7 linked regions of the Ovis aries genome follow. The protein of the gene in region 7 interacts with the protein of the main gene of each other region in a biochemical or structural test. Links are inferred from orthologs where the notes say so. Each region holds a gene or a part of one and is shown on either strand. Other genes may lie near its edges.

Region 1 (4,648 bases), on a different chromosome or scaffold from region 7:
AAACAATAAATCACTCCAGCTATACTCCGGCTCCCAAACAGAGAATGGGGGAGGGGAGAGCTACAATTGTAGGGAAGAGACGCTGGCGAGGGAGAAGGGGCTGGACCTGAACATTACCTTTGAGAGGACGACTCAACAGTCCTTGCCAATAACTGAACTCAAGGGATGAGAACACGGGAGGGAAGACAGCTCCCAGGTTTTTATGTCTCAGGCTTTGATCTGAGTACTAGGGCCGCTCCCTGAGGTGTGGAAGCCTGAGGGAGAGGTTTGGCAGGCCCACAAACCTGTAGGGACAAACTGAGTGTGAGGTTTGTATGTTTTCAACTGAATTTTTTATTCTTTTAGGACATTCACAAGGATAATTAAATCAGACCACAAAAGAAGTTGAATGTTAGCATTTTTCAAAATCGTGCGTATTCTAGTTGCCCCTTTAAGTGAAGTCGATCAGTCGTGTCTGACTCTTTGCGACCCCGCGGGCTGTAGCCTACCATGCTCCCCCGTCCATGGGATTCTCCAGGCAAGAATACTGGAGTGGGTTGCCATCTGCCCCTGTAACGCCCAGGGAATCTGGATACAATGGGAGTGAGTGGCAAACTCTAAAGACAATGCATTTGGTGAAAAGCTCGCTGAAAACGTAACTGCACGCTCCTATTTCCTTACATCTCCGATGCTTATGGGAGAAAAACTCGCCGGCCTCACAAGGTGGACGGGCAGGGTGAGCGGACCGCAGAGATCCCAGAGCCTCGGTCACCACCGTCCCCCCTGGGGTCCCCGGCCTTCCCCGGCCGCGATCACACTCATCCCACGCGGAAGGTCGCCCGCAGAGGCCGCCAGGAGAAGGCGGGTTCCGTCCCGGACTCGGGGTGGGGGAGACGGCGCCCGGGCGCCCGGCGCCGCCAGGCCGTCCCGGGCCGCGCCCCCGCGCCGCCCCGCACTCACACACCCGGCGCACACGCGCGCCCGCTCGAAGGCGGGGGCTTCTCTAAGGGCGGAGGAACCGTGCGGACGCCTCGGCGCCTCTTCCTTTTGTGGCTTTCGCCCGCTCCCCCGGCCCGGGCGCCGGCCTGCGCCCCCCCCGAACCCTCCAGCCCGAGGGCGCGGCGGGAGACGCAGGGCAGTGCGCCGCGGAGGGCGGGGGAGACGCTTCCCGCGCGGGGCCTGGGCGGCGGGGCTGGGACTCCGCGCCGGCTGCGGCGGGGCAGCGCTTACCTGCGGGCGGCGGCGGCGGGCAGGGCAGCGGGCGCCTGGGGCGCGGGCTGCGCGGGGCCGGGCGGACGGCGGCGCTCGGGGCCGGGCCGCCCCTCTGCCCTCCTCCGAGGAGGCTCCGGCCGTGCGCCGGGGGCCGGGCCGGGCCAGACTCACTTCCTCAATCCTGAGCGGGGCGGGCGGCGCGCGGGGCGAGGGGCGGCCTCCGAGAGGCCTCCGCAGAGCGCGCGCGGGAAGCCCCTGCGCTCGCCCGCCGGCTTCCCTCACCGAGACCCCGGAGGCCACGGGGTCCGCAGGCGCCCCCAGCGCCGGTCTCCTCCGGGTCTGGGTCCCCTGCCCTCCGGCAGGGCAGTCTCAGCGGCGAGATTGGTCGGTTTTCGGCGCAGCCCAGCTTTCCCTGCCCCTCTGTTCCGCTCAGCAGCGAAATCCGCTGGTGAACTCCGGACTCGTCTATGGAGGCAGTAAATACTCAAAAGACAGGAATATTCGTTTGTGTACAACTTTTTCTACAGCAGACTAGACGTATGAAATGTAAAACTTTAATAGTTTGCAAACCTCAACCCTTCCACCACATGGATTTACTAAATTACGGATACACACAAAGATATCACTGGTGAATCATTTTAAATTGTCTGGGTCTATTTTGGGGGTGGCGGTGGTAGATAAACCTGCTGGAGTGTAGGCAATTTCTATTTCAACCTAATAAAAAGATGTACCCACAATTAAGGCCATTGTCCAAAGACAGATCATAATGATGTACGTCCATGCGGGCGGGCAGGCTTTAGATTGGGCTCCACGTGCCCGCCAGGGAAAGAGAAGACTTCTTCGGAAAAAGCGGATGGTCCTGCACCCTGGCAGGATCTGCGCACCCCAGGTTCCTCCCGTGTTCGGCTATGACTGGAACATTCCCAGGGTTTATCCCAAGGCTCAGAGACAAATCGCCAGCATCCTCACTGCCGTTTCACAAAAGCCGGCCAGCAGCAGCCAGCTCCCGCCTCCACGACCTCGCAGACACTTTGAGCGGTCACCATGGACGAGTTCCTTGGGTCCCTGTTCGAAGAGGGGACCACGGGGCAGCTGAGGTTTGCGCCCAAGAGGCTGCCCCGTCGGCTCTCCCGGGCCACACGCCCCTCCAAAAGGGAGGGTGCAGTTCTGCAACCCTGCCTTCACCACCGCGGTTCTAATTCCAATATGCAAAAGGCGGCAGTTTGGTCGCTAACGAAAAGTCCCTAATAATTTGCAGGGCGTGGCGTCCACGGTGCCGAGTGAGCCTGGCGATCGCGGCGCGGCGCCCACCCCCACCCCTAGGAGCCCGGTCCTGCCATCTAGCGGGACCGCGAGGAAGTGCGCGCCGGGTGACCGGCGGACCAGGGGGCAGACGCGGCCCACGGAGGTGAGGACAAGCCCTTTTTAAATGAGCTTGCCATCCGCTTAGAAATGTGTCCAAGGTAGAAATAACTTGTCACATGGGTGGCCTGTTTCGAGCTGGCTGTATCCCAGCATTTAACCTTACCCTTGGCATGCGTTACTTACAGGTTTGCGTGAGGCGATTGTTACAGGTCAGTTAAGATTTCTTTATGCTTCTTAACCCCCGCTGACCAACGTCTCATGTTGGAATGCTGGTAAAGAATCCACCTGCAGCGCAGGATTCCTGAGTTCTATCCCTGGATGGGGAAGATCCCCTGGAGAGGGGACCGGCTACCCACTCCAGTGATCTGGCCTGGAGAAAAAGACTGGGACACGACTGAGTCACTTTCGCTTTCGCTTTCTAAGTTTTCTCCTAAGTAGGTAATGGAGGCAGGGAGGGGTTTCCCTGGTGACTCAGACGGTAAAGAATCCGCTTGCAATGCGGGAGACCTGGGTTCCATTGCTGGGTTGGGAAGATCCCCTGGAGAAGGGAGCAGCTACCACCCCAGTATTCTGGCCTGGAGGCAAAGAGTCGGTCAGGACCAAGCGACTTTCACTTTCACGGTGGGGTCCATTGGAAGCTACCTCCCTGAGCTACCCTTTCTGCCTTCTGAAGGTGTAGTAGTTTTTTTCCTTTAATTGAAGGATAATTGCTTTACAACATTCAGTTGGGTTCTGCCACGCATCAGCATGAATCAGCTGTATACACACATCCCCTCCCTCTTGAACCTCCCTCCACCCTCCCACCCATTCCCACCCCTCTAGGTTGTCACAGACCAAAGGGCCTGAGCTCCCTGCCAATTCCCACTGGCTATTCATTTTGCATATGTAAAGTATATGTTTCAATGCTACTCTCCCAATTCTCTCCTTTCCCAGCTGTGTCCACAAGTCTGTTCTCTATGCGTCTCCATTGCTGCCCTACAAACAGCTTCATCAGCACCATACTTTTTGTTGTCCTTCAGTCTCTCAGTCGTGTCTGATTCTTTGTGAGCCCATGGACTGCAGCACGGCAAGCTTTCCTGCCCTTCACCATCTTCCAGAGTCTGCTCAAACTCATGCCCATCGAGTTGGTGATGCCATCCAACCATCTCATCCTCTTTGTCCCCTTCTCCTCCTGCCTTCAACCTTTCCCAGCATCCTTCCCACCATCCTTCTAGATTTCATATATACGCATTAATATATGATATTTGTTTTTCTCTTTCTGACTTACTTTACTCTGTATAATAGGCCCTCAGTTTCTAGTCACCTTCCTTCAGCTGGGTATTCAGTTTCCACTGATATTTCTCCTGGGACACTTAAAAAATGTCCCTTATTATCAAGACATGATAGGAGCAAGAACGTCAAAAGGGCTCAGCCTGCCATTGGGAGAAGCTTGGGTGTTTCAAAGGGTCCACTTTTAGAGAATGTCCCAACTTACTGTCCCCACCCCAAAAGGCACTGCACACACACATGCACACACACACACCATAGCCACAGTGTATGTCCTCAAAATGGTTCCTCTTGTGGTAATGACAAACAAAGGAATTGCTGTTTTCCTTGAATGTGTTGCTCACATTTTGGTTGGGAAATGGAAGGTTTCTAAATGCATTCAAACATACACAAGTGCATAAATTAAGATGGATCTTATCCAAGGCATGGTTGAACACGGTGGACCTAACCAAGTACAGAAATATTCTTCATCTAACCTCAGTGTCAGTGTACAACTCAGTGATTGAGGCTTACTGGTCTGAAGCCTTAGAAACTCTGGGTAATTTAGACACAAACACAGAGATCCTCATGGAGAAAAGGGACAGACATGAACACTTATGCGCACAGTTGCAGGACGCAGTGTTTCCCTGAGTCCCCAAGCAACCTTCCCACATTCTGCACACTCACATCCTCATCACTTGGTGATAAAGAGGGACTTGGTAAGCTCAATGACAGCTTTAACTTCACCAACTAAGATGCAGAGCCTTTGAGGCCAAGCTTGCTGCCTCATCCACCCCCAAAACCGTCAAAGTGAGTTTCACACTCAAGCTAAGCACAGGACTTCATT
Region 2 (2,997 bases), on a different chromosome or scaffold from region 7:
ATGGTAGGAATAAAGCAAATGAATTAGATAAACACTCCAACCAGTTTTCCAAAAATGTCAAAGGTCATTCAGATCAAATGTGAAAATCATCTAACCTAATTGACATTAATTTCATCCTTTCATAAAAGTAAACAGAACATTTCGAGGAGAATGTCATTTATGACAAAAGTTTGGAGAGAAAAAACTGATACCTGTTCAGTTTAGCTTTTGGGACAATTTGGGCATAAAAATTATCACTGCTTTCAAATATATGCAGGTTTAAAAATCTTTTAAGTCCATAATTTCAAAGTTTAGAAACAATGCCAATTTATAGGTCAAATATCAAGACAGAAGTCCCCAAACTTTAACCATATAACATGCCAAGCCACTTTATTCTTCACTGATGTAAAGTATACATCATTTCTAATTAAAATCTGAGAATAAAAATGAGAAAGTAAAAACAAAACAAAAACCCCATCACTTACTTCTGCAAAAGTGAATTTTTGAACTTTTCAGCATTCAATTCTATTCGTAATTGTTCTGCACTCTTCCTCGAAGCAGACAGCAATACTGAATGCTTCACCAGTGCCATTGCTGAAGGTCTTCTCTCTGGATCTGGATGAATCATAACCTTAAAAAGAGAAGTAAAATTAACACAAAGATATGCAATTTAATAAAATATTGAACTATGTCAATACAGTGCTTCACATATAAAATGCTCACTTTTAGCAACTCTGTAAATTCTTGGGAAAGCACTTGTGGAATCCGAGGTAATCTACCCTGTCTAATTTCATGCCATTGGTCTCCATTTCTGGGAAGAGGCTCAGCACCAGCAGCACATACCACCGTGAGGGCAAGGGCAAAAATATCTGCTTTTGGTAGGTGAGTATAGTTCTGTAAAATTAAAGGAAACAAAAAGTTAAGGGAATATAAAGATGGTCAAAATTAAGTAAGATTACACCTCAATGATTATTTGGGTGAGAAATAAGATGAAATTACAATGTCCAGTGATACATTTAAATTTAGGACATATTCAGAGAACAAGCTAAATTTGGGAAGATTATAATTTTTTTTAATGACAAAGTTATGTACACTCTGGGGCTTTCCTGGTAACTCAGTGGTACAGAATCCACCTGACAATGCAGGAGACACAGGTTTAACCCCTGGGCTGGGATGATCCCCCAGAGAAGGAAATGGTAACCCACTGCAATATTCCTGCCTGGGAAATCCCATGGACAGAGGAGCCTGGCGAGCCACAGACCATGGGGTTGCAAAGAGTAGGACACAACTTAGCGACTAAACAACAATACACTTTGGGGTGGGATGGTAAATACATTTCTGAAAGTATTCAGGTTATTTCTAAAAGGCCTCCTCTTTATCACCAGCCTCACTCAACTCTCAGAAGAAACGTTACCTCTAGGGGCATTCATATGAAACTACAAAGATCAACAAGTTAGAAATATCCACATACATATACGACACAAATATACATAAACAGAATAGTGTCATACAATTCCTTTGTTCTAGTTACTCTATTTCCATTCAAAATGCTTATCAAGAAATATTTTATAACAGTTTTTGAAATAGTATCATTAACTATGGGGCTTCCCAGTTGGCTCAGATGGTAAAGAATCTGCCTACAATCCAGGAGACCTGGGTTCGATCACTGGGTCAGGAAGTTGTCCCCTGGAGAAGGAAATGGCAACCCACTCCAGTATTCTCGCCTGGAGAATTCTATGGACAGAGGAGCCTGGCGGGCTACAGTCTATGGGATCGCAAAGAGATGGACACAACGAAGTGACTAACACACACTTTCACATTATTAACTGTATGCCATACTTTATTTAATCATTCCTTTATTGCTAAATATTAACATCATTCTCAACTTATTTGTATATGAATATGTCTTTAAGAGAGACTCCTAGAAATGGAAATTCTGGGTCAAAGGAAATGTGACTTTAAAATGTTGACAGATGTTAACACTTTGATCTCCGAAAAGACACTGTCATTTTAAAGTTTCACCAGTAATGCGTGCAAACTTCTTTTTTATTGCAACCCCAGCACTGTTGAATATGATAAATCTTTGCCTTTATTGACTTTTGCTAGATTAAATACCCCAACAAGCTAATAGTTTACACTTTCTATTCTGTATTACCTTTCTACTGGTTATTAGCTTAAAATTTCAGTACATCTGCATTTATAGTTTTCTAGCAGCTGATAAGTGTTACAAAGCAAATGGCTTAAAGAAGAAAAACTACCTCCTGTAAAACTTCATTTGCAAGAAAACGGCTATCACCCTCTTCAACTTGTGGACTAGAGATCCTTGTTACATGCCCAAGGTCACCTAGAAGTATTGAAAAAAATACAGTTAAGAATTAAAACAAAACAGCCTCTATTTTAAGGAAATAATTTGGTTACTTTTCTTTCTTACCTATTTTAAACATAACTTTGTTGGATGCCCAGTCATCTTCATCTCCTTCTTCAGAGGCAGCATTTGGGATTGAAGTTCGAGATATGAAAATATTACCTGTTAAACAGTTATTTAGGTAAGCCATACTGACAATTAATAGAATCAAAGTTCACAAACAAGTCATATAATGAATCATTCAGAAAGCGCTTAAATATATAGACTATGTGTTCTATCCCAAACCCAGTGAGAATGAAAAGGGACTGTATTTTCTAGAAATATATTTTCTGGTCTAGCACTGGTCCTTTAACACTTGAAAACCACTGCATTAGACTCTTGTCAGCTGCACATTGATCTTCAGCAGTTCTAATTACTTAGAAATAATACAAAGGGCAATTAACATACTAATTGTGATGCTATTGAAGCATAAATTTTAATCCAATGCTACAAGGCTGGTGTGAAAACAAGTCACGCTGGTAGTTTGGCTGACCATACAGCATCTACATCCCAAAGAAGTTTTGTGGTTCACTATTTCTACTGTCCACAAACTTTTTCTTCATCTAATTCAGGCAAGTTTACATAAATATAAGCTTCAGCAGCAAACTTTATTT
Region 3 (3,594 bases), on a different chromosome or scaffold from region 7:
CACACTTTGCAAGATTCTTCTAAAAACCTGCTACTGCCCATGTGGTAGGCAGGTCTAAAAAATACTAGCTGCAGGCAGCATTGAGTATATTGTCGTGTACTCAGTATTGAAGTTTTTTACCCCAAATTTCAGTTCTCCTTCTCAAAAAAATCACACTTTTCACACATGTCACTTATCACAGGTATTCACAGTTATCATTTCAGTAGTTTAAGAAAGAACTGCCTGGCAAATACTGTAAAAGAGGTAAATCCAAGGATAAATCTCACGTTTTCAGGCACACAGGACTTAAATCCTTGGGTGTGAACTCAAAATAGAATGAAACAACTATGTAAATGCAACACATTACTAAAATGAATGAAATAATGGAAGAGTTGTCATACTAGCTCTTCTAATTCGTTGACACGATTTTCTCCAATATCTGAGAAGCATCAATGGCCAAGGATTAGTAGTTCCCTGGAAAATTTTAAGTCAAGATTTTGCTTTAAAAAAAAGTGGCAGTGAAACACCATAAATGGTTACTTAAAATCTAATCAACGCCATCAAAACCCTGAGTGTTCTCAATGGCCATCTGAAGTTTATCCCATAATTCTTCAAATGATTCATAGGGTGGCAAGTCCAGGCGATTAAAGCTGAAAGAACAGAGAGAGGCTGGTTATGACGGACAGTGACAAAGTGACAAAGCAAGTTCCCAGGGCAAACTAGTCACAGTGCAGCTATTTGTGACAGAATGTTCCAACAGCAGGAAAAGACCTTTTCTCCGCAGGGAGAAGGAAGGCCTAGGATTGGACTCAAGGTGTGGATTCTCTTCATGACTTCTTGGTGGTGACCTCTCACCTCCACCCTGACCTCCAAATGTTTGGGTTCCCGTCATTTGAACCTTCAAGAGGAAATGTTCTAGCCCTTTGTAGAATGGCTTATCATTCATATGAATGGAGGCAACATATCATCAACAGTTCAGATGTGTCTCTCCAGTGTTCAGCTACCCGGACTTAAAGCCCAAGCCTGCCTGGTAAAGAAACACCTGTTCCTGAGTTAGTCTTACTGTCTCTCCATCCTCTCCCTCCCACCCCCCACCTCCTTATCTGCTACCAACACAGCACAGAGGGAACTAGACCTTCTGTATCTAGACTGAGAGAGGACGTTCTCTCTCTGAGGACTTGGTTCTCTAGGGTCAAAGAAACTGCTTACCAGGTATGAGCTCTTGGCAGCTTCTCAGGTGTGCCCCACTGCTCAACTGTAAATGACTGTGGTCCGTTTGAGCCTACAAGGAAGAGAAGTTACTTTGGTTTCATTTAGCCTTTATAGGAGCTCCTGAACATTTCACAGCTCACTTTTGCTAATGCAGAACTTAAAACACACAGATCATTCATCTAGTTTCTTTAAATTCGAAAGAAATAATGCTATCTTGCGCTGATAACTTTACTATCCAGCCACAGAATGAGGACTCCTATCAGTTTGTCTGTGGTCAAGGTATCACTCTGACCTGGGGGGCATGTCTAATGGGACTTTTGCTGTTCCCCAGCCCTGCATTTTCATATACCACCTCTATCATCAGTCAGTTCAGTCGCTCAGTCGTGTCCAACTTTTTACGACCCCATGAATCGAAGCACACCAGGCCTCCCTGTGCATCATCAACTCCCAGAGTTCACTCAGGCTCATGTCCATTGAGTCAGTGATGCCATCCAGCCATCTCATCCTCTGTCGTCCCCTTCTCTCCCGGTACAAAGAAAATGGGCATTTTTTTGAGTCCCACTGAAAACAGCTTTAATTTTTTTCTGATTATTTTTCTCTATTGCTTTTTTTGCAGTAAGATTATACAATGAAAGATGTCAAGATCACCTGAAATTTCACTGTTAAATCTAAGTAAATATCCTATCATTAATCTTTTTCTGCATATGCATAGAATTTTATGTGCATGGGATCATTTATACATGCTACATTTTTCTCTTACTATGAATATTCTTAGAAACTTTTTCTTCCTTTGGAGTTTTATTCAATTATTTCTTTTGCAATTCTCAACGTCCTCCAACCTCCCAGGTCATTAATGCTAACAACCTGATGAGTCACCTTCCTTACTTTTCTCTATGTCTCAGACTCATATCCAAATATGTGTGTGAGAGTATAACTGTCAGAAGCAGTACTAAAAATACTATTTTCCATACTTCTGTTTTCTCAAAAAGCACTGCTGTTCACACATCACCCATCACAATTATATCTACAGTTTAGTACTTTTGTCATTGTATTTTCCACAACATGGAATCATATATTTTCCTGTCTCTTGATTCTCTCACCTGAACACTCCATTTGAAAAACTCCCTATTAAGTCAACCAATATAAATGTAACATAATTCTTCTTTCTTTGGGGGCTAAGCCACACTTCGTATGGGATGCCAGTTCCACAAATAGGGCTCAAACCCGAGTGGAAAGGGTCAAACCCCTGCTGTGGAAGTGTGAACTGCCAGGGAAGTCCCCGTAACATATTTTTTATTGGCTGGATAATACTGTATTGTAATATTAACATTCTGAAGCAACTTCTACTTCTTTTGTAAATCCATAAGAATTTGAATTTATAGTCTAACACTAATAACTCTGGACCTGTGTCTGAGATAGTGTGTTAGTTGCTTAGTCGTATCTGACTCTTTGCGACCCTGTGGACTGTAGCCAGCCAGGTCCCTCTGTCCATGGAATTTCCCAGGCAAGTATACTGGAGTGGATAGCCATTCCCTTCTCTGGAGGATCTTCCTGAACCAGAGGTCAAAGCTGGATCTCCTACATCATAGGCAGATTCTTTGCCATCTGAGCCACCAGGGAAGCCAGTGTGTGAAATATCTCCTCCAAATTCCAAAAAATGCATGCCATCAGTGGGTGACTGTAGGTCTAGGCTGCATATAAGAGGACAGTGGAGCTAGAGATGGAGGGGTGCTTGCCCTGCTTTGATTTTCTCTACTGACTGGATAAAGAGCAGGAAGAGAGAATGGAATGTGAGTCAGGGGAAACCACTGGAAAGACAAATCCAGTCAGGTGGGGAATGAGCATGTTGTTGAGTGGCAACTCTATAGTCTTCTCCTTCTCCTTGGGAGAGAAGAGGCAGCTGCCTGACAGGTTCTGCAAACAGATGTTCAGTTAAGCTTAACAAGGAATCCACATAGGCCAAGGAAGGGATAGAAGGGTTCTGATCTTGGCTATACCTCCTCTGAAGGAGTTGTTTTTCTTGATATCTTTTAAAGCAAGTACATGCCATTCCAATAAACAGAATATTTAACTGTGTTTATTCCATTCTTTCCCCCAAATGTATTCCACTATAATACACTCTGTATTTTGTTGTACACTTATTAACACCCTGTGGAAATTTATATGCTGTCTATCTTAAACCATCACACCATGGCAATGTTTTTTCTGTAACAGAATGCAGAGTGGGAATCAAATTTAAAATCCAAGAATGGAAAGCAACTTGAATCATTTCCTGCGTTCAGTTATCTCTTTTGCTATCTTACTGAGAGTCCCTTGGACTGCAAGGGGATCAAACCAGTAAATCCTAAAGGAAATAAACCCTGCATATTCATTGGAAGGACTTCTGCTAAAGCTGAAGTACTT
Region 4 (4,117 bases), on a different chromosome or scaffold from region 7:
GTGCGAGGTGAAGAAACCAAGGGTGGCTCCAAGCTCAAAAGGATAACCTAGAGCTTGACCAAAACCACAACAGAAAGTACGACCAAAAAACCTGTTAGGACCCTATACAGTTCAGACAGAAGAGCACAGGGAACACGGAAGAGTTATGCATCCATCAAAGTATCTGAGCACTGTACTTCAGGCACTGCACCCGGCAAGGGACAAAACCGGAAACAGAAGCACCGAACCTCCTGCCCCCACGGGCTCACATTTAAGCATTAAGATCTGCCCCACCTGCTGCATCCATAAAGGCCTTGTTTAGCCGAAAGGTCAGAAGGGGTTCTTTGAGGTTTCGAAGGAAGTCTTTCAGGAGGCTACAGATAGCATGGATGTCATCCACTTTGCTGAGGAGGGGTACAGTTTTCACTCTGAGGAATTTCTCTTTTAGCTCTTTTACTGTCCGGTCACAGCCTGAGATCCGATACAGGCCTGTCTGTTATCAAGATGACATTTTCAGTTAAAAACCTCTTAATTACTGATGCAAATAACAAACTCACCCTCTCCAAGGATGGACTCTTACCTCAGTCAGTCCTCTTTGCTCAATCTCATTTACACAGTGGACAACAATTGACGGTATCATTGGAGAAGTCTGGGACACATAATCTGCCAGCATTCCCTGAAAAAGGTGAGTTTAAAGTTATTATTTATACCACTTAGACTAGCAGATGAAGGCCAATGGGAAGAGCCATCCCCAGACTAATACTGAGGCTGGGACACCATGCCTACTTTAAAATTCCTCTTCCCAAAGCATAAATAAGACTAGAGCCGCTCAATTATTCTTCCTACCTCTACACCAGGACTGATTTATGGTCACATGTACCACACTCTCACATGAACAAGTAATAAGATCACTGGCTACAACTCCACCCCTGCTCCTCTTACAGTCAAGGGCATCAGAAAGAAAGCAATAATGAGATTACAGGTGTGGAGTGTAATATAAACTAAGTTATTACTCTAAAAAATCTGTTCTATCCTGTAATTACTCTTAGTAAGAAAAATTATTTAATACAACTCAGTTGACTATGACACACACTGATCTGTAGGAGAGAACTCCGTGGCTCTATAGTACAGAAAATCTGTAAAAAAAACTACATGCATGGATAAAAATTCTTAAGATTAAAGGACTTCCCTAGTAGTACAGTGGATAAGAATCCACCTCCAGTGCAGGGGACATGGGTTTGATCCCTGGTCTGGGAAGATTCCACATGCCACAGAGCAACAAGGCCCACGCGCCACAACTGCTGAGACTTACGGGCCTAAAGTCTGTGCTCCACGAAGAAAGAAGCCCGTGTACCACAACAAAGAGTAGGCCCACTCACTGTCAACTAGAGAAAGCCCTCGAGTAGCAACAAAAACCCAGAACAACCAGAAAAAAAATAAAGATTAAATGGGAATCATGCACTAAAAGAAAAAAAAAAGATTAAAGAAAAGTAATATTTGATTTGCTGGAGGCTGAGTAGCAGCTCAATCATTTTGTTTTGATTCTTGCTAATGTTGCTTCTAACAATAATTTCTTAATGAATTGAATCAAATTTTAGAAATGAATCTAATCTTAACAGCCTAGTATGGAATATCTCCAACATAAGATAAAGAATATTCAAAGATGAAATTATATCATGGCTGGGATTTGCTTCAAAATAATTCACTGAACAGGGTCAGGAGAAGATGGAGGTATTAACAAATCAAGACTGGACATGAGTCAGGGATCATGAAAGCTGAATGATAAGATATGAATGATAAGAATGATAGGGGTTAGTTACACTCATCTCTCTACTTTTGTATATGTTTGAAATTTTACAAAAGTAGATGGGATGGGGATGGGAAGGAAGAGAAGAATAGGAAGCGAAAGGAGGGAAGGGAGAAGGAAAAAGCAAGAAAATAAGGAAAGGGAGGGAAAGAGGAAGAGGAAGGGAGGGGAAGAAAAGGAAGAAGAATTTGGTTTAGAAAAGCTACTAATCAGACAGACAAACCCAAACAGGATTCTTCAAGTTAACATTTTATAATTTCTATTCACTATTTGAGGGAGGAAATGTACATGGCGTCAATAATTTTTGAAAAAAATGACCATAAGCTTTTAAAGGGCTTCTCTGGTGGCTCAGAGGTAAAGAATCCACCACGACACAGGGTCTATCACTAGGCTGGGAAGATCCCCTGGAGGATGGTATGGCAACCCACTCCAGTCTTCTTCCCTAGAGAATCCCCACAGACAGAGGAGCCTGGCAGACTACGGTCCATGGGGTCACAAGGGGTTGGACAGACTGAAGCGTCTGAGCACAGAGGCTTTTTAAAAGCTAACAAAGTCATAACACAGTGAGGGCTCCCACAGGTCATATACATACTTCTCCAATCTTGACAGGTGTCCCTGTCAGGGTAGGAATACAGGGAAGCGGACAGCGGTCCCGACATTCTGGATGAGAGACCACACGACAGTCTCGACACTTCAGAGACAGCTTGCCAAATTTTATTCGCTTTCCACATGGTACACAAGATTCGGGTTTAATAACCTGAGGATGAAACAGGGAATGGTATGAATTAGAACATTTATCATCAATCAACATTTATTAAGCACTTAGCATGTGCCCAATAGCTTTCTCATCCCTTTACACATATTTTTTACTTGTGTAATTCTCACAATAATCCTATAGGGTTTTTTTTTTTTTTTTAAGATAAGGAAACAAGCAAAAAGAGGCTAAGTAATTTGCAAAGGGATCACCATACACTAGTGGAAAGAAACTGCTGGCAAGGAGTCAGAAAACCTCTATGTTAAACTCTGCTACTTACTGTCCTGTGGCTCAAACAAGTCAGTTAAGGCCTCTGTGCCCCTGTCAGTTTGCTTGGATTTTTACCAGAAATCAAATGGGACAAAGTTAAGGCGTGCCATATTCAAGCATGAACTGTAAATACATATCATGATAAAGCAAACACTGCTTCTGAAAAGTTGCTTTCTTTTACTATCACTCACAGAATGGAAAGATACACACCCTCTCTAACCCTGGAGAGGGGGATGAGGAGGAAGGAAATTTGACATTTAACTTTACAACACTAAATATTTAAATTTGTGATTAGCAAATATTACGCCCACCGTTAAAAAATTAGATGTGTCCCAAAGCAGCAGCAGCCCCAGCTTTACCGTCTTAGAGACGAAGTCGTGCAGGCGCATCCCCCCATTGCTCTGCGGAGTGCTGGAGCCGTCTGTTTCGGTTTTTGGCTCTGGCTGCCTGCTGCTCAATGTGGAGTCACTGTTCCAAGGCTGTAAAGTACCTAGAAAACAGACAACTCCAAGCTTTGTGTCTTAGATGTTTCGTTCCTTCTGAATTTTTTTTGCCGCACCCTGTGGTTCATGAGACTTAGCTCCTCAACCAGGGACTGATCCCAGGGTCCTTGGCAGTCAGAGTGCGAAGTCCTAACCACTGGACCGCCAGGTAATTCTCCCGTCTGAATTTTAACCCCAATTCTAATATAACCAGTAGGGACTTCCCTGGCAGTCCAGTGATTAAGAATCTCCCTTCCAGTGCCAGGGGACATGGAAAAGAAATATGTCTTCCATGTTGGGAAACATCCCACATGCTACAGGGGAACTAAATAGCCTGTGAGCCACAACCAAAGAAACGTGCACGCCACAACAAAGATCCTGAGTGCCGCAGCAAAGATCCGACACAGCCAAATACACAATATAACTAGTAGATAACCAGGAGTCTATAACACCCAGAAGTGAACTATGCAACACAGTTTCCAGAGAGACAAGCTACACACCAGCGGTGTAGGTCAGGCTAGCAAGCCAAAGCAGGGCATGACAAAACAGGGCTCTGTCCCCCAGTAAGAAGCAGTACAGTGAACGACCTGAAACATCCAGCCCCTGACTCATGAGGGTTCTAAGAAACCAGTTCTCCCCGGATTTCACCAGTTGTTTTTACATAGGCAATTCAGCCACAAACCCAGCGGACCTGTTTTCCTTCGGCTCCGGGTCCAATATGGCACGGTCTCAATAGTGGACACAGCCTCGATGGGCCCGCCATCATTGGGAACAGTCACTGTAGTTTTAGCAACTATGGATTCATTTCCCTGAAACAAAGGCAGT
Region 5 (4,117 bases), on a different chromosome or scaffold from region 7:
GAGTTTTAAAACTGCCCCAAACTATCTATTGGTAACCACTGGTTTGGGGAGTTATTTAACTAGTTACATCAGGAAGTAGTGCTCTGCTAGTATTTCTTAGTTGTTGACTGGTGTTGGACTCTAACATTGCTGGTTCCAACATTGCTATGAAAGATCAGATCTAAGTTGCCAAAGGAAATGAAAGAACAATTCTATGGCCATCCCTGAATGAAGAGAGCTTCAGGTCAACTTTTAAGTTAGAACAACCTCAACCAACTATTCATATCATTCAAATTTGACTTTTTATTAATCTATAGTACTGTCTGGGCTTCTTGAGTTTTCAGTCTTAGATCTAATCTTATGACCTTGAGCAAACTGTGTTCTTCTCTCTGAGCCCTGCTCTTTCATTTGTGAAATTAATATGAATCTATTGATTTATTTTCTTCTAAAACTCACATATCTTGAGTTTTGCAGTGTTTTTTAGTGTCTTCAGTTTTAAAGGTGGTAACTGCATTCGGTTCAGTTTCTTTGGTCCATTGATGGTTGAACTTACATATAGTATGCTAATTTAAAAAAGAAACCGTGCAAAGAAGACCATGGAGTTTTATAAATATGAATCTGATAAGGGATTAAACAAGATTCAAAACATAGTAGTCATCAATCAATTTTATGATAATCATTCCTTAATGTGAATCATATTTTGCTCTCAATTTCTTCTAAAATTCTCTCTTCACTCATGGGCCAAAGTAAGAGAAAAGAAAAGACAATTACGTACTTCATTGAGGTCTAAAGAGTACACTATCCTCACCTTTCCATGTAATTTTTTAAAAAGAGGGTAATCATTCTAATCTTAATGAGAGCATTTGGTAGTAATACTCTAGTCTCTTATGGCATTTAACTGGGTTTGAATCACAAAACTATTTTTTTCCTCTCTCTCCTTTAAGGAACTGGCCTACTTCTACCCTCAGGTGAATTTATTTGATTTTTTATATTAATACTAATAAGAGAAAATCTCAGATATCATATTTATTATAATCGTTAGGATAGGCAACCACAGCAAAACTTGAAATGCTTTCTTTGGTTTTTCTAATTCCATCAAAGAACATATATTTTCCACCTGAATATATAAAGAATTACATTAATGCACAGAAACAAATAAAAGGCCATGATAGATTAACAGAGGTACCTATTCCAAAATTTCAGAAAAGAAATAATGGTTTTGCACCAAAACCTTATAGTTACGAAGGGGCACTGGGCTAGGAATTAGAGAATTCTTTTCTCTTTATTCTTGGCATTTCTGAAATCCCTGTATTATTCTGGGACTAGGACCTTCCCTTTCTTTGAGCTCATTGCCTTCATGAAAAACTAAACTATAGAACAGAAAGGCAAAAATGACCTTCTCTAATCCAAATGTCCATGAGTTTATAAATTATATAATAATTAAATTCACACTACCACTTTCCTCTGGACTTTGATAGCTGGACCTGTGTTAGTAATGCAGGTTCTTGGAGTTCAATACTGGCTATTGATCTTAAAGAAGTGATTTATTCATTACCCCTCAGGTACCCTAAGAAAAATCCTTTCCAAAATTTCCTTACTGTGATTTACCATAGGGAAGAGTTTGGTTTCTCTGTTTTCCTCACAGAGTAAACATCTCTTGTGATGCGAATAGCCATGTCTGAAATGAATGCAATGATTCATTTTCAGAGATTCAAAACTGATTTCTCATACACTGTTGCTTTTTCAATGGTCTTTCTCTCTAGCTTTTCAGACAATTCTACCAGCTGGACGCCTATCCATCTGGTGCCTGGTATTACCTTCCACTAGGCACACAATACACTGATGCCCCCTCATTCTCTGACATCCCTAATCCCATTGGCTCTGAGAACAGTGGAAAGACTACTATGCCACTGTGGTGGTAAGTTCATTTAAATGACTGCATATTGCTGCCGTATCAAGGGAAATAGAAGAAAACATAATATAAAAATAAATTTAGAATAAGCATGACACTTAAATGCTTAGTGTCCTATGCTAGAATTTTCTGAAATGGAAAATTGATGATAACTTTCTGATATATGGCTAATGTTAATCCATTACTCAGGAACATGTGGAGCAGTGCTATCTATTTGATAAGTGATAATCATTCTGATGAAAATAGGAGGAAAATTTTCTCTCCAAAGTAAAAATTCAACTTTATCCTCCTTGCACTTTTGCTAATCTTTAAATGCCTTTCTTTGGATTATACCCATGATATACATTAGAATGCAATGTGGGGGATAAACTGCAGATTTTGACATTCCTAAAGTCCTAACTTGAAATCCTGATCTTTTTATTTTCGCTTACTTGAAATAATATAATGATGTTTGTTTTTATAACCTTGAAGGTGATTAAATATAATAATCTATTAAGCATACTGCTGGGAAAATTAGTGCTCATTTTTTGATTTAGCAAAATTTTATTACTGACTACCTTACTCACGTTTTACCAATTTTTGTTCCTTCAGAAGAGTCAAGTGAATTATGAGGAACTCCACAATTATGGTCTTTGGTAAGTTGGAAATTGCTTGTCTTGATCCTCTTTTCATATGAATACAAAGGTACAACTTGTAGACTATAAAGTTGTTTTGCTGGTCCTCTAGTCTAGCTATATTTAGACACATTACACTTAGATAATATCAATAATTAAATTGGCTTCAACATTTTTTGTATTATAATAATATCAAATTTAAGTAACAATAAAACTAGCTAATTTTAATTAATATAATTTATTATATTGAAATTTCTACACAAGTATAGGAGTGTAGGTGTTACTAATTCTGGTGACCCCAGCAGAGGAACCTTATTCTTTATGATCACTGGAATAGAAATACTTAAAAAGTCACATAGTTAAATCAAGTATTTGTCTGTTAAGAAGAAAACAGATTTAAATGTCCATAGATGTGTTTTGAGTACTTCAGTTTACTGTATAGGAGCTTGTAGTTGTGTGTGTGTGTGTATGTTCCCTTTCTAGTGGTGGAAACTTCCCTTACAACAGATCAAAAGAAGGAAAGTAAAAGTCTGACATACGTGGAAGTTTTTACTTTGAATTATTTTGCCATATTTTCTGTTACTGCAAAAGAAAGTGCAACCTAGTCATAAATTGCCTGTAAAACTTAAAAATCAGGAGCAGTGGGTATGTGTTAGTAACAGGAGACACATATAACTTTGTGAACTTCATCTTAAGATGAAGAGAAAATGACTATTAAAGTGTATCTTAACAGTAGCTTCTCCTTTCAAAACATGCAGCATAACTAACTACATATTTCTTTTTTGATTTACAGATGGGATTGAAAATTCCATGCTCTACATGTCTTTTCATCTATCATGTCAAACCATTCTATCCAAAGGCTTCAATTGCTGTTTTAGAATAGGACAATCTCAAATTGAAGGCACTCTTTCTTCTTGAGTTCTCTATTGTATTTTAGATTGTGTAACATCCTTAAGTGAAATTGTCCTAAGAGCTTGTTACCTAAATTCCAGTAGTATCATGCTGGTATAAAGGCCACTGAGTCAAAGGGAATTACAGTCTTCATTAAATTTCTATATGGAAAATGTTTTTAAAGCCTTTGAATCACCTCTCCTGTAAGTGCCATCATTTCAAATAACTGTGTGCAGTAACTGAGATTTTGTCTTTCTTCTTTTCAATAAATTACATTTTAAGGCACTATTCCTATTTTTGTCATTATTCCATTGGGAGGAATTTACACAACCTTGTGAGTTTGTATGTATATAACATTTTGTTTTCACTAAATTTTTATGACACTTTCAAAAATTCAAATGTTCACTTCTAGCTGATGCTGGTAGATTATAAACTGAGTCTAAGATCTTTCATTTGAAGTCAACTGTTTATAGAATATTTTCCATGTGAACATGGATGTGGCTGCAGAGAGAACAACAGTGTAGTAGTTGTGGGTGCATTGGGAATTTGAACAACCTGGTTATACTGTTTAATTATGCAGGACTTGTTGGAGCCCAATCCACTTGATTATACTTGAGTTTATAACTAGGTAGATTATAAAATAAACATTGTAAAAGTTAACACGGGACACACAGTAACAGAGCATTCATAGTGAGCTGTTCGGTGTCCTCCAAAACTCTAA
Region 6 (4,759 bases), on a different chromosome or scaffold from region 7:
TTCTGTCACCTTCTTCTTCTGCCCTCAATCTTTCCCACCATCAGGGTCTTTCCCAATGAGTTGGCTCTTCACATCAGGTGGTCAAAGTGATGGCATCAGGTGGAACTTCACTTCAGCATCAGTCCTTCCAGTGAATATTCAGGACTGATTTCCTTTAGGATGGACTGGTTGGATCTCCTTGCAATCCAAGGGACTCTTGAGTCTTCCCCAGAACCACAATTCAAAAGCATCAGTTCTTTGGCGCTCAGCCTTCCTTATTGTCCAACTCTCAACGTCCATACATGACTACTGGAGAAACTGTAGCTTTGACTATACAGACCTTTGTCGGCTTAGTGATGTCTCTGCTTTTTAATACCCTGTCTAGGTTTGTCATAGCTTTCCTTTCAAGGAGCAAGTGTCTTAATTTCATCACTGCACTCACCATCCACAGTGATTTTGGAGCCCTGGAAAATAAAATCTGTCACCGTTTCCACTTTCCCCTTATCTATTTGCCATGAAGTGATGGGGCCAGATGCCATGATCTTAGTTTTTTTAATGTTGCATTTTAAACTAGCTTTTTCACTCTCCTCCTCCTATAGATGAACTTTAGTTGAACTCTTCCCTGTTGGTGTCCCGATTCCCACGTAAATCTACAGCCCTAGGTCTCCAACCACCTCTTCAATGTCCGTTTAGTGCCACAGCCTTCATTTTAAATTGACTTATTCAACTGATATTTCAATAAAAAATAAATTTTAAAAGCAACTTGATTCAAACTGAGCTATTATCCTCCCACCCGCGCTTCCACCCACTGATTTCCACCCACAAAGCCACCGTGTCCTCATCCGAATGGCAATGCCAACACCCACGAGTCACCCAGGACAGAGGCAGAAGCCAAACTGGGAGGGAATTAGTAAAGTAAAGTAGATTTCAAAGGAAATGGAAGGTGTTTGGGTCAGTAAAATAGGGAGTTTTGCACAAAAAATTAAAAGGAGGTGGGCTAGCTTTGGACATCTTGGGCAAACAAGTGGGACGAGGGAGAACGGAGGAGCCAAATATAGGCTTCTGGATTCTTAGCTGTTCATCACCAAGGTAACTGCGTTGCTATGGCAACAGCAAAGGCAGCACCGCCTTTTTCAAGAACTTCCTTCGCTGCGGTTACCTCCACACAGGCCAGACACTTCCGCCTGGGAGGCTTCAGCCCGCGGGCTATGGTTTAGGAAGGCGGGAATTGCTACAGTAGTAGCCAATCGGATGGGCTCTGTGGCGAAGGACGCAAAGGAGGGGTCGGAACTTTTGGAAGCTCAGCAGAGGGCGTTGATAAGGCGAGTTCGCGTCCCTTTCCCACCATTTAGCGGCCGAGGAAAGGAAGAGGGCGGGACCTGGGTGAGGCCGACCGGGGCGGGGCCCAGATTAATGGTGGGAGGCTCCGCCCACCCCCGCCTTTGCTCAATAGGAAGCCAGAGAGTCAGTCCGGACAGTTAGGGTGCCCAATGAGTGCTGTCGCCAAGACCCCGTGCGGGGCGGGCTCAGCCAATCGGCAGCAGCGATGGGCGGACGCGGGCGGCAGAGGCGGTGCGGCGGAGGCGGAGCGGCCTCTGCGGCAGGAGGGAAGATGGCGGACGAGGAGAAGCTGCCGCCCGGCTGGGAGAAGCGTATGAGCCGCAGCTCAGGTGCCGCGGGGGTCGGGGCTGGGACGGGGCCGCGAGGGCCCGCAGAAGCAGGGCTCGAGCTTGTCCCTCGAGCGCGGCAGCGCCGCTCGGTTCCCGTGGGGTCCTGGCTCCTCCGCGTCGTCCCCGGGTAACGGCCCCGGCCCACCCTGTTGGGGCTGCGAGCCTGAGGAGAGGGGAATCCCGAGGAAACTGAGGCAAGGGGCGTGGCCGGGGAGTTCCAGGGTGCTCCCGGGGTGGCAGGGGGATGGTGATCCCGCGGCACTCCCTCAGGCGATGGCCCTGGCCCTGCCGATCTGACTGACATTTTCGTTCGGCCTAATGCACCAGAAGTCCTGAGGGAACGTCTGTGCAACCCGCTGGTCCCAGGGTGGGGACCCCTTGGGGAGGACACCCCAACATCATGCTCAGGGCGGGGCCCTATAGGGTGTTGTTCGGCCTCGGATATACAACCTCCTTCTGCTAATACGCTCGCTACCATCCACACCATATTCTGAGTTTGCGATATCCGGCCGGTGGTATTCTGCCTGAGAACTGCCCTTGTGCTCCGGAACCCGACTTAAGACTTTTCCCCAATAATAATGTCAAGAATAGGGAACGTTTATCTCAGGACCAAGCATAGTTCCAAGCATTTTGGGTGTTTGCTTTCTCTAAATGGTCATAATTTTGGGAGAGAGGTAATTGTTACCCCCGTTTTGCAGATCGGGAAACTTGAGGCCAGAAAACGCAAGGAACCCGCCCAAGGTCATTGATTTCAGGGGGTGGGGGTTGGGTTCGGACCCAGTCATTCTGACTCCAGAGCCCCCTACCCTTCTTGCTGCAAACTACCAAGATGCAGGTTCCAGTATTTCACACTTCTTTCTCCATAGAGCCTAGCAGTCATTGTCGCAGTAATAATTTGATTTTTTGAACATCAGGAGCACTTTGCATACAGCACCATCCACTCTCCACATTAACCCTCTGGAGGTTTGATGTCCTTATTCTCTCATCCCCACTTTTCAAATGAGAAAACTGAGGTTCAGGGAGATGGAACCCATTGCCAGTGTTTTTGAGGCAGTCAGTGGCTCAGCTCTCACCAACCCCCACCCCACCCTGCAGCCTTGACCCATGGATGTGACCTACAATGTAAAGCCAATGCTCTGCCAAATTTGGGGCTCCCACTCCAGCCATTTCAACCCAGTTCAATCCTGACAGTGTTCCCTGAGGGTGACATCCAGCCCTTCACGGTGTTTGGACAAGTCCTCCGTGTAACCCCGGGCAGACTCTGCTCCAGGAATGACACCCTATCTCTACTGGGTCCTACTTCAAGCTTCTTGTTGGCAGCCCTCACTCCATGCTCTTTAGTCTGGATAACATCTGACCCCAGTAATGCTGGACCCCAGTTCTGTAACTGGGTAGGGGAAAAGGACAAAGCTTTTGTGTGTGACACACATGGGTACAGTTTATGCAGCAGAATAAACACCCATTGCTTTGTTTTGGAGGCACTAGTAGCTGACCAGATGCCTCACAGTAACATGTGCATGCTCAAGTCGTGTCCTACTCTTTGTGACCCCATGGACTATCCCACCAGGCTCCTCTGTCCATGGGATTTCCCAGGCAAGAATACTGGAGTGAGTTGCCATTTCCTCTTCCAGAGTATCATCAAACCCAAGATTTTTTTGCTTCCTGCATTAGCAGGCAGATTCTTTACCTCTGTGCCACCTGGGAAGCCCACGGTTTGACCAGAGATGTATTAGTATGTTTTTTGTTACCCAAATGTTACTGACTGGAGTGTCTCAACATTCATTTATAATCGCCAGCCACAGGCGTTAGTTTTTGCAAAAATCCCCCAGTCGATAATGTGTTAATATATGTCAAGTGCTGTCCTAAACTCGTTACAGATGTGAACTCATACAGTCCTTCCAAAAACCATTCAGGCAAGTACTGTTGTTATTTCCATTTTACAAGTGAGAAAACTGAGGCCCGGAGAAGGGAGTCATACAGGGAGTGAGTGGCAGATTTGAACAGGGAGTCTGGCTGCTGAGTGCATGCTTTGAACCTCTCTTCCTCATCTTGGATTATTTTCCCCCCTTGAAGTTGTTAATGACCAAAGTTATTATGTGGTCGTACTTGCTTGTTTATTGTCTGTCTGCCTCCCACCTAGAGGGTTAGCTCCCTAAGTCCTGGTGACACTGGTGGACAGCAGTGGGCTGGCTGAATGAAGGCATCTTGTTGGCCAGTTCCATATCATGGCTTGATGGTGGTATGCACTGAGCAGGTCCCAGCTGAATTCTGTACCCCACCCCCCCTTCTAGGCCGGGTGTACTACTTCAATCACATCACTAATGCCAGCCAGTGGGAGCGGCCAAGTGGCAACAGCAGTGGCAGCGGCAAAAATGGACAAGGGGAGCCCACCAGGGTCCGCTGCTCACACCTGCTGGTCAAGCACAGCCAGTCACGGCGACCCTCGTCCTGGCGGCAGGAGAAGATCACCCGAACCAAGGAGGAGGCCCTGGAGCTGATCAATGGTGAGCTGGGGTTGGAGACCAGGCCTGGGGGAAGGGGGCAGTCCCTCTCCCCAAGGGCAGTGCAAGCTTTACAGAAATCACATGAGATGCTCCACCCCAGCCAGCTTAGCTGTCAGCTGTGGCCTTGGCCGACCTATAAGTGCCTGTTGGTGGCATGAGCCTGGCTTCCATGGCTGCCTCTCATTTTCCTCCCCAGCTGGTGTGTGAGAGTGGGCCAAGGTTGGTGGAGAGGACCCAGCCTTATGGCAGCCAGACCTGGGTTCACATGGTCACTATGCCCCTAGGAGCTCCTTGACCCTGAGAGATTCACGTCACTTCCTTGAGACTCGGTTTTCACCTCTGTCAAATGGACGTCGTCATCTCCTTGCCTTCATGGGCCATTGTGAAAGCTCAGTGAGATGAAATGGTGTAATGGGTGGCACACAGTTGTCACTGTGTGGGTCGTCATTCAGTGGGAGCTATCCTGGAGAGTAGTGTCATCAAGCAGGGTCCTGGGGCACGTATGTGGATGGGTCAGGAGGGAGGTTGGAAAGGTAGCAGTGTTAGAACTAGACAACAGAGTCAGTGAATTAATTTGGCTCTGAGCAGGCTGTTCGTCGCTAAGTT
Region 7 (4,117 bases):
AGAATACCACAGCAATAACTGCTGTTGTATCCACCATGGATGCTGACATCAGTGAGCTAAAGTCTGAGTAGTATTCTCTCAGAGAAGCTCCCCATGGGGTATAAATTAATCACCGAAGGAAAAACAGTAGCTATGCACTGGAGGCACCACCTTAACCAAGTGATCACCAATCAAAGGAAATATTCATATAACCAAAGAAAGTATCAAAAATTAAAGCAAAAAGAAAAAGGTAATCCTTAAAACAGCAGTGTCAAAACTGAAATGAACTCATAAAGTTGTGCTATATCCACACAGAGAAATAAAGTATTTCAAGTGGCTTTTCTTGGGGTTTTTCTGTGTGTGTGTGTGTGTGTGTGTGTAATGTAGTCTAAGGACAAAAAGAATTGCATGGAAATAAACATAGTTTCATAACATACTTTATATATGTTGAAAATTCATGTATACCGTGTAAGCAAACAAGGTTTTCATTGTAAGAGAAAAAGAAATACAAGCATAAAATTAAAGATCCTATAATATTAAATTAGACCCTTACAAATTACCAAAAGAGAATTAAAGTAGTAATTTCACAGTGGAGAAAAAGACTGCTGTAAGACCAGTTTGCACCAATTTCAATTTCCTGAACTTGATAACTAGGTCCTGTGTCGTGGTTAGGTAAAAGAATTGTTTTTAGGAAATATACACTGAAGTACTAAGTAGTAAAGGCCAGAATGTGTACAACTTACTATCATGTTGTTTGGGACAAAAACAATACACACACATACACACACATATAATGAGAGATCCCCACCCCAGTTATGTATTTTCTAATTCTGCTCTCTGAAGAGACCTAGAAACAACGACAAACCAAGCAATGAGATGTGGTTTTGTAAGAAAATGTCTATCCTTTTAGAGAGATGCGTACGGAAGTTCTTGGGGGTAAAATGGCAAGATGTCTGGAATTAACTTCAAAAATACTTCAAAGGAACAAACAAGGAGCTATGAAGCAAACACTACAAATCTTAGCAAGTGTTGACTCTGGCGGTGATGTGGGTCCCACGCACATTGTGCTCCATGTGTGTATCTGAAGCTTCTCAACATTTTTTCCAATGAACCATGCAGGGCAATATCAACGATTTAAAAAATATATATTAAGAATTATTCAGGCATGGCATTTAGCCACTCTCTTCTCTCCGGACATGACAGGTCTGACTCAGTCACAGTAAGGTCTGTCTTCCCTGACAGGGCTATGGGGAAAGGCATTTGCCACATAAGGATGGGGACCATGGATTCAAAGACTGGGGCCCATCCTACTGCACACCTGAGCTTTGGGGACCATCCATTCACACACAGAGGCAGGCAAGGCTGTTTGTCTACCCACACTCTGGTTTACCTTTATTGAGGATGGTGAGAGGCTTCCGGTTGCTGGGGTCCAGGCTACTGGGAGCAATTGAAAACCTCGGTGGAATGGTGAGGCAGGTGATGGGGAGGCGGGCAGGGATATAGCCGGAAGTGAAAAACTCGTCATTGAGCAGCTCGTGAATGGTTGGACGGGCACTGGGATCTGGCTGAAGCATCTTCTTGATGAGAGAGGAGGCCACGGGGTTGATGTGCTGGAGGGAAGGTGGGGAGTCATAAGCAGGATATGACACAGGACCAACCCAGCTGCTGCACCACCACCCACTACCCGGCCCCAAATACACCATGTTCAGTGGCTATAAACGTCCCAAGTTTCCACTGGCAGCTTTACTAAGTTGACAAGTTGCTCACCACTAGAACAGCACTTGAAAACAAAGGCTTGGAAGTCATAAAGGCCTGGTGTAAGTCCCAGTTCTGTCCCTCAGCACCAGCTGTGCCAACCAACCCAACTTTCTGGGCCTTTGTATCTTCATCTATAAAGTGGGGACACAGCACCAAGCTTGGAGCCCTGGCAAGGAGACCCAACCCAGGGTAGGTCAAATGCACAGTAAAGCCTAGCATCAACTTTGTACTTACTATCTACCAGCAAAATATTGTAAGCACTTCGTGTAGATGAACTCACTTAACCCTCAGAGAAACACCCAAGGACTGAAGCTCTCTAGTACCATCCCTCTTTAGCAGATGAGGAAATAGGCACAGAGAAGTCAAGTGCCTAAGATACATCCCGAGTGAGTGGTGGAGCCAGCACCCACACCGAGGCAGTCAGGTGCAACCCCCACACTGGGAACCGCTCTACTCGGCCCAATAATTGACCCTCTGTAACGGATTCAGCCCATCCATCCTGATGGAGACAGGGCTCTTGGCTTCACATAAGACAAAGATGCCAAACTGTGGAAGCAGCTGTGTGCCAGACTGCTGCCAACTATCCCTCTCAATGCACTCTTGCTGGGGGCTGCAAAAGCACGCCACTTCGCCTTCACGGTGGTTCGAGATTCTGTGAGCGCTCGCTGTGTGCAAGATGCTCTGGGGCAGGGACTCCACTTTACAGATGGGAAACTGCAGCTCAGAAGACTCAGGCCATTTGTCCATTGTGATCTGGCTAAAAAGTGGCAGAGCCCATCTGAACCAAGACAGTCCACAGCCAGGCTAAGCAGCACTTCTCCGTCTGCCCCTACTCTGGCTCTTTCTCTCTGTTTTTCACGTCTTTTGGGTTATCTCCCCAACGGATGAAAGCCTGCAAACTCTCATCCCAAGAAAAACTGTTTCTGTACACATACATCAGCCTCTGTATGCAATTTCAGACAGGACCCTCTAAAGCTGTTACACTTACCCATGGGGTGGCACTGACCCATCTCTTTCCCCCGGAAATGGCTGGGCTCTGTAAATCACTTGGTGGGGGAGGGAATTAAATAAAACAAATGTAAACTTAAAGTGGTTTTAGTCACCTTGGGAATACTGTATTCATTGTTCTTGATCCGGAGGTAGGTCTCTTTTAGGCAAGAGGTCTCAAAAGGTGGCTTGCCCACTAACAAGGTATACCTGTAAGCACAAGGAGGGATTTGGCTCAAGGCTCCCAACCAAAACCCAGATGCAGGGAGGAATCCTCTCAGGGCCAGAAAGGAAGTCAGACATCTTTTGGGCATTCACTGTGACTCTGGGGCCCCAGAGGACAATTCACAAGTTCACTAAGCAGCCCCAGGAGCCACGACACTGGCAGGGAGGTACCCTCAGTAGAATACAGGTGATGAAACTGGGTTCTAATGGACCAGTGACTTTTTAGCTATAGCCTGCGGTAATCTAGGGGCCAGAGGCTGCCAGCTAACATGGAACAGGTCCAAGCAGGGGTCACTTTCCTTGAGGCAGCCCCACAGTTAATAGTTCTGTACTTTAGGCTGCAAGTTTTCATGTGGGAAATTCCAAGGCAAAGAAGTAGGAAAGCCATTTCTAACTCTCCAGTATCCAGGGAAACAACAAAAGGGGTAACACCTGAACAGGCCCAACTCTCTGCCCACCACCCACCTCTGATGGCCTTGACCCAGACAGACCACAGGACCTCCTCCTGCCAGCACCACTCCTGGCCTAATTCTTCCCACCCAATGCTGCTTTTTAGATCAGTGGTTCTAATACTTTATTGTGCATAGAAATCACTCAAGGGTCTTAATACAGATTGTGATCCAGTTAGTCTGGGTCTTGAGATTCTGCGTAACAAGTTCCTACGTGATGCTGCAGCTGGTCTGCCGTACTTTGAATAGCAAGGGATTAGAGCAAGTTTGTGGAGACATTCCCTCCCTCATTCCCTGAACCCACAGCCCAGGCTGCAGGAATCCTACAGGATATACCAATTCAGCAATGAGGGTTCCTTCAGAGACCATCTGTCCTCTGGAACAGTCTTTCCAAAGGCGGAAAGGTCTGCAGGATAAAGCCTGCCAAGTGAGATGTCCAGAAAGCCCCTTGCTGAGACTGGTGGGTCCTGAGACAACTCCCAACTTACATGATGCACCCAATGGACCATACGTCCACCTCGAAACTGTGCCCTTTCTTGCTCAGCACCTCAGGAGCTATGTAATTAGGAGTCCCGCACAGGGTCTTCTTCCGTTCCCCGTCATACTCCACTTTGGTTGCCAGTCCAAAATCCCCTGGGACAGAGGGAGGAAGAGGGAGGCTCAGATGCCAGCTTCTGTCGTCTGTCAATGCAGACAGCTGGTTCAGCTGGTAACCATCA

Evidence for each region.
Region 1: the proteins of PLK1 (region 7) and LRRK1 form a complex in vitro, tested with the Homo sapiens proteins (2 studies listed by BioGRID, with this or other methods). The link is inferred for Ovis aries from reciprocal best matches to the Homo sapiens genes PLK1 and LRRK1.
Region 2: the proteins of PLK1 (region 7) and WEE1 form a complex in vitro, tested with the Homo sapiens proteins (2 studies listed by BioGRID, with this or other methods). The link is inferred for Ovis aries from reciprocal best matches to the Homo sapiens genes PLK1 and WEE1.
Region 3: the proteins of PLK1 (region 7) and NEDD4 form a complex in vitro, tested with the Homo sapiens proteins (2 studies listed by BioGRID, with this or other methods). The link is inferred for Ovis aries from reciprocal best matches to the Homo sapiens genes PLK1 and NEDD4.
Region 4: of the proteins of PLK1 (region 7) and RACGAP1, one has a biochemical effect on the other in vitro, tested with the Homo sapiens proteins (3 studies listed by BioGRID and IntAct, with this or other methods). The link is inferred for Ovis aries from reciprocal best matches to the Homo sapiens genes PLK1 and RACGAP1.
Region 5: of the proteins of PLK1 (region 7) and CSN1S1, one has a biochemical effect on the other in vitro, tested with the Homo sapiens proteins (2 studies listed by BioGRID). The link is inferred for Ovis aries from reciprocal best matches to the Homo sapiens genes PLK1 and CSN1S1.
Region 6: the proteins of PLK1 (region 7) and PIN1 form a complex in vitro, tested with the Homo sapiens proteins (3 studies listed by BioGRID, with this or other methods). The link is inferred for Ovis aries from reciprocal best matches to the Homo sapiens genes PLK1 and PIN1.

The regions. Positions count from the first base shown.
Region 1 is NC_056071.1:5,010,041-5,014,688, forward strand, and holds the start of LRRK1 (leucine-rich repeat serine/threonine-protein kinase 1), read right to left. Parts: upstream 2,948-4,648; 5' UTR 2,740-2,947; intron 2,400-2,739; exon of another isoform or gene 1,210-2,399; intron 285-1,209; exon of another isoform or gene 118-284; intron 1-117.
Region 2 is NC_056068.1:42,787,275-42,790,271, forward strand, and holds part of WEE1 (wee1-like protein kinase), read right to left. Parts: intron 2,507-2,997; coding exon 2,411-2,506; intron 2,324-2,410; coding exon 2,238-2,323; intron 874-2,237; coding exon 703-873; intron 611-702; coding exon 465-610; intron 1-464. UniProt on the Homo sapiens protein: Acts as a negative regulator of entry into mitosis (G2 to M transition) by protecting the nucleus from cytoplasmically activated cyclin B1-complexed CDK1 before the onset of mitosis by mediating phosphorylation of CDK1 on 'Tyr-15'.
Region 3 is NC_056060.1:52,695,623-52,699,216, reverse strand, and holds part of NEDD4 (E3 ubiquitin-protein ligase NEDD4), read right to left. Parts: intron 1,262-3,594; coding exon 1,189-1,261; intron 630-1,188; coding exon 527-629; 3' UTR 1-526. UniProt on the Homo sapiens protein: E3 ubiquitin-protein ligase which accepts ubiquitin from an E2 ubiquitin-conjugating enzyme in the form of a thioester and then directly transfers the ubiquitin to targeted substrates. Specifically ubiquitinates 'Lys-63' in target proteins.
Region 4 is NC_056056.1:136,300,408-136,304,524, reverse strand, and holds part of RACGAP1 (rac GTPase-activating protein 1), read right to left. Parts: intron 4,102-4,117; coding exon 3,984-4,101; intron 3,301-3,983; coding exon 3,170-3,300; intron 2,544-3,169; coding exon 2,379-2,543; intron 656-2,378; coding exon 560-655; intron 473-559; coding exon 274-472; intron 1-273.
Region 5 is NC_056059.1:86,188,238-86,192,354, forward strand, and holds the end of CSN1S1 (alpha-S1-casein), read left to right. Parts: intron 1-923; coding exon 924-947; intron 948-1,742; coding exon 1,743-1,897; intron 1,898-2,482; coding exon 2,483-2,483; 3' UTR 2,484-2,526; intron 2,527-3,298; 3' UTR 3,299-3,681; downstream 3,682-4,117. UniProt on the Homo sapiens protein: Important role in the capacity of milk to transport calcium phosphate. Casoxin D acts as opioid antagonist and has vasorelaxing activity mediated by bradykinin B1 receptors.
Region 6 is NC_056058.1:12,284,318-12,289,076, forward strand, and holds the start of PIN1 (peptidyl-prolyl cis-trans isomerase NIMA-interacting 1), read left to right. Parts: upstream 1-1,566; 5' UTR 1,567-1,591; coding exon 1,592-1,649; intron 1,650-3,940; coding exon 3,941-4,153; intron 4,154-4,759. UniProt on the Homo sapiens protein: Peptidyl-prolyl cis/trans isomerase (PPIase) that binds to and isomerizes specific phosphorylated Ser/Thr-Pro (pSer/Thr-Pro) motifs.
Region 7 is NC_056077.1:21,884,529-21,888,645, reverse strand, and holds part of PLK1 (serine/threonine-protein kinase PLK1), read right to left. Parts: intron 4,032-4,117; coding exon 3,887-4,031; intron 2,935-3,886; coding exon 2,841-2,934; intron 1,590-2,840; coding exon 1,370-1,589; intron 1-1,369. UniProt on the Homo sapiens protein: Serine/threonine-protein kinase that performs several important functions throughout M phase of the cell cycle, including the regulation of centrosome maturation and spindle assembly, the removal of cohesins from chromosome arms, the inactivation of anaphase-promoting complex/cyclosome (APC/C) inhibitors, and the regulation of mitotic exit and cytokinesis.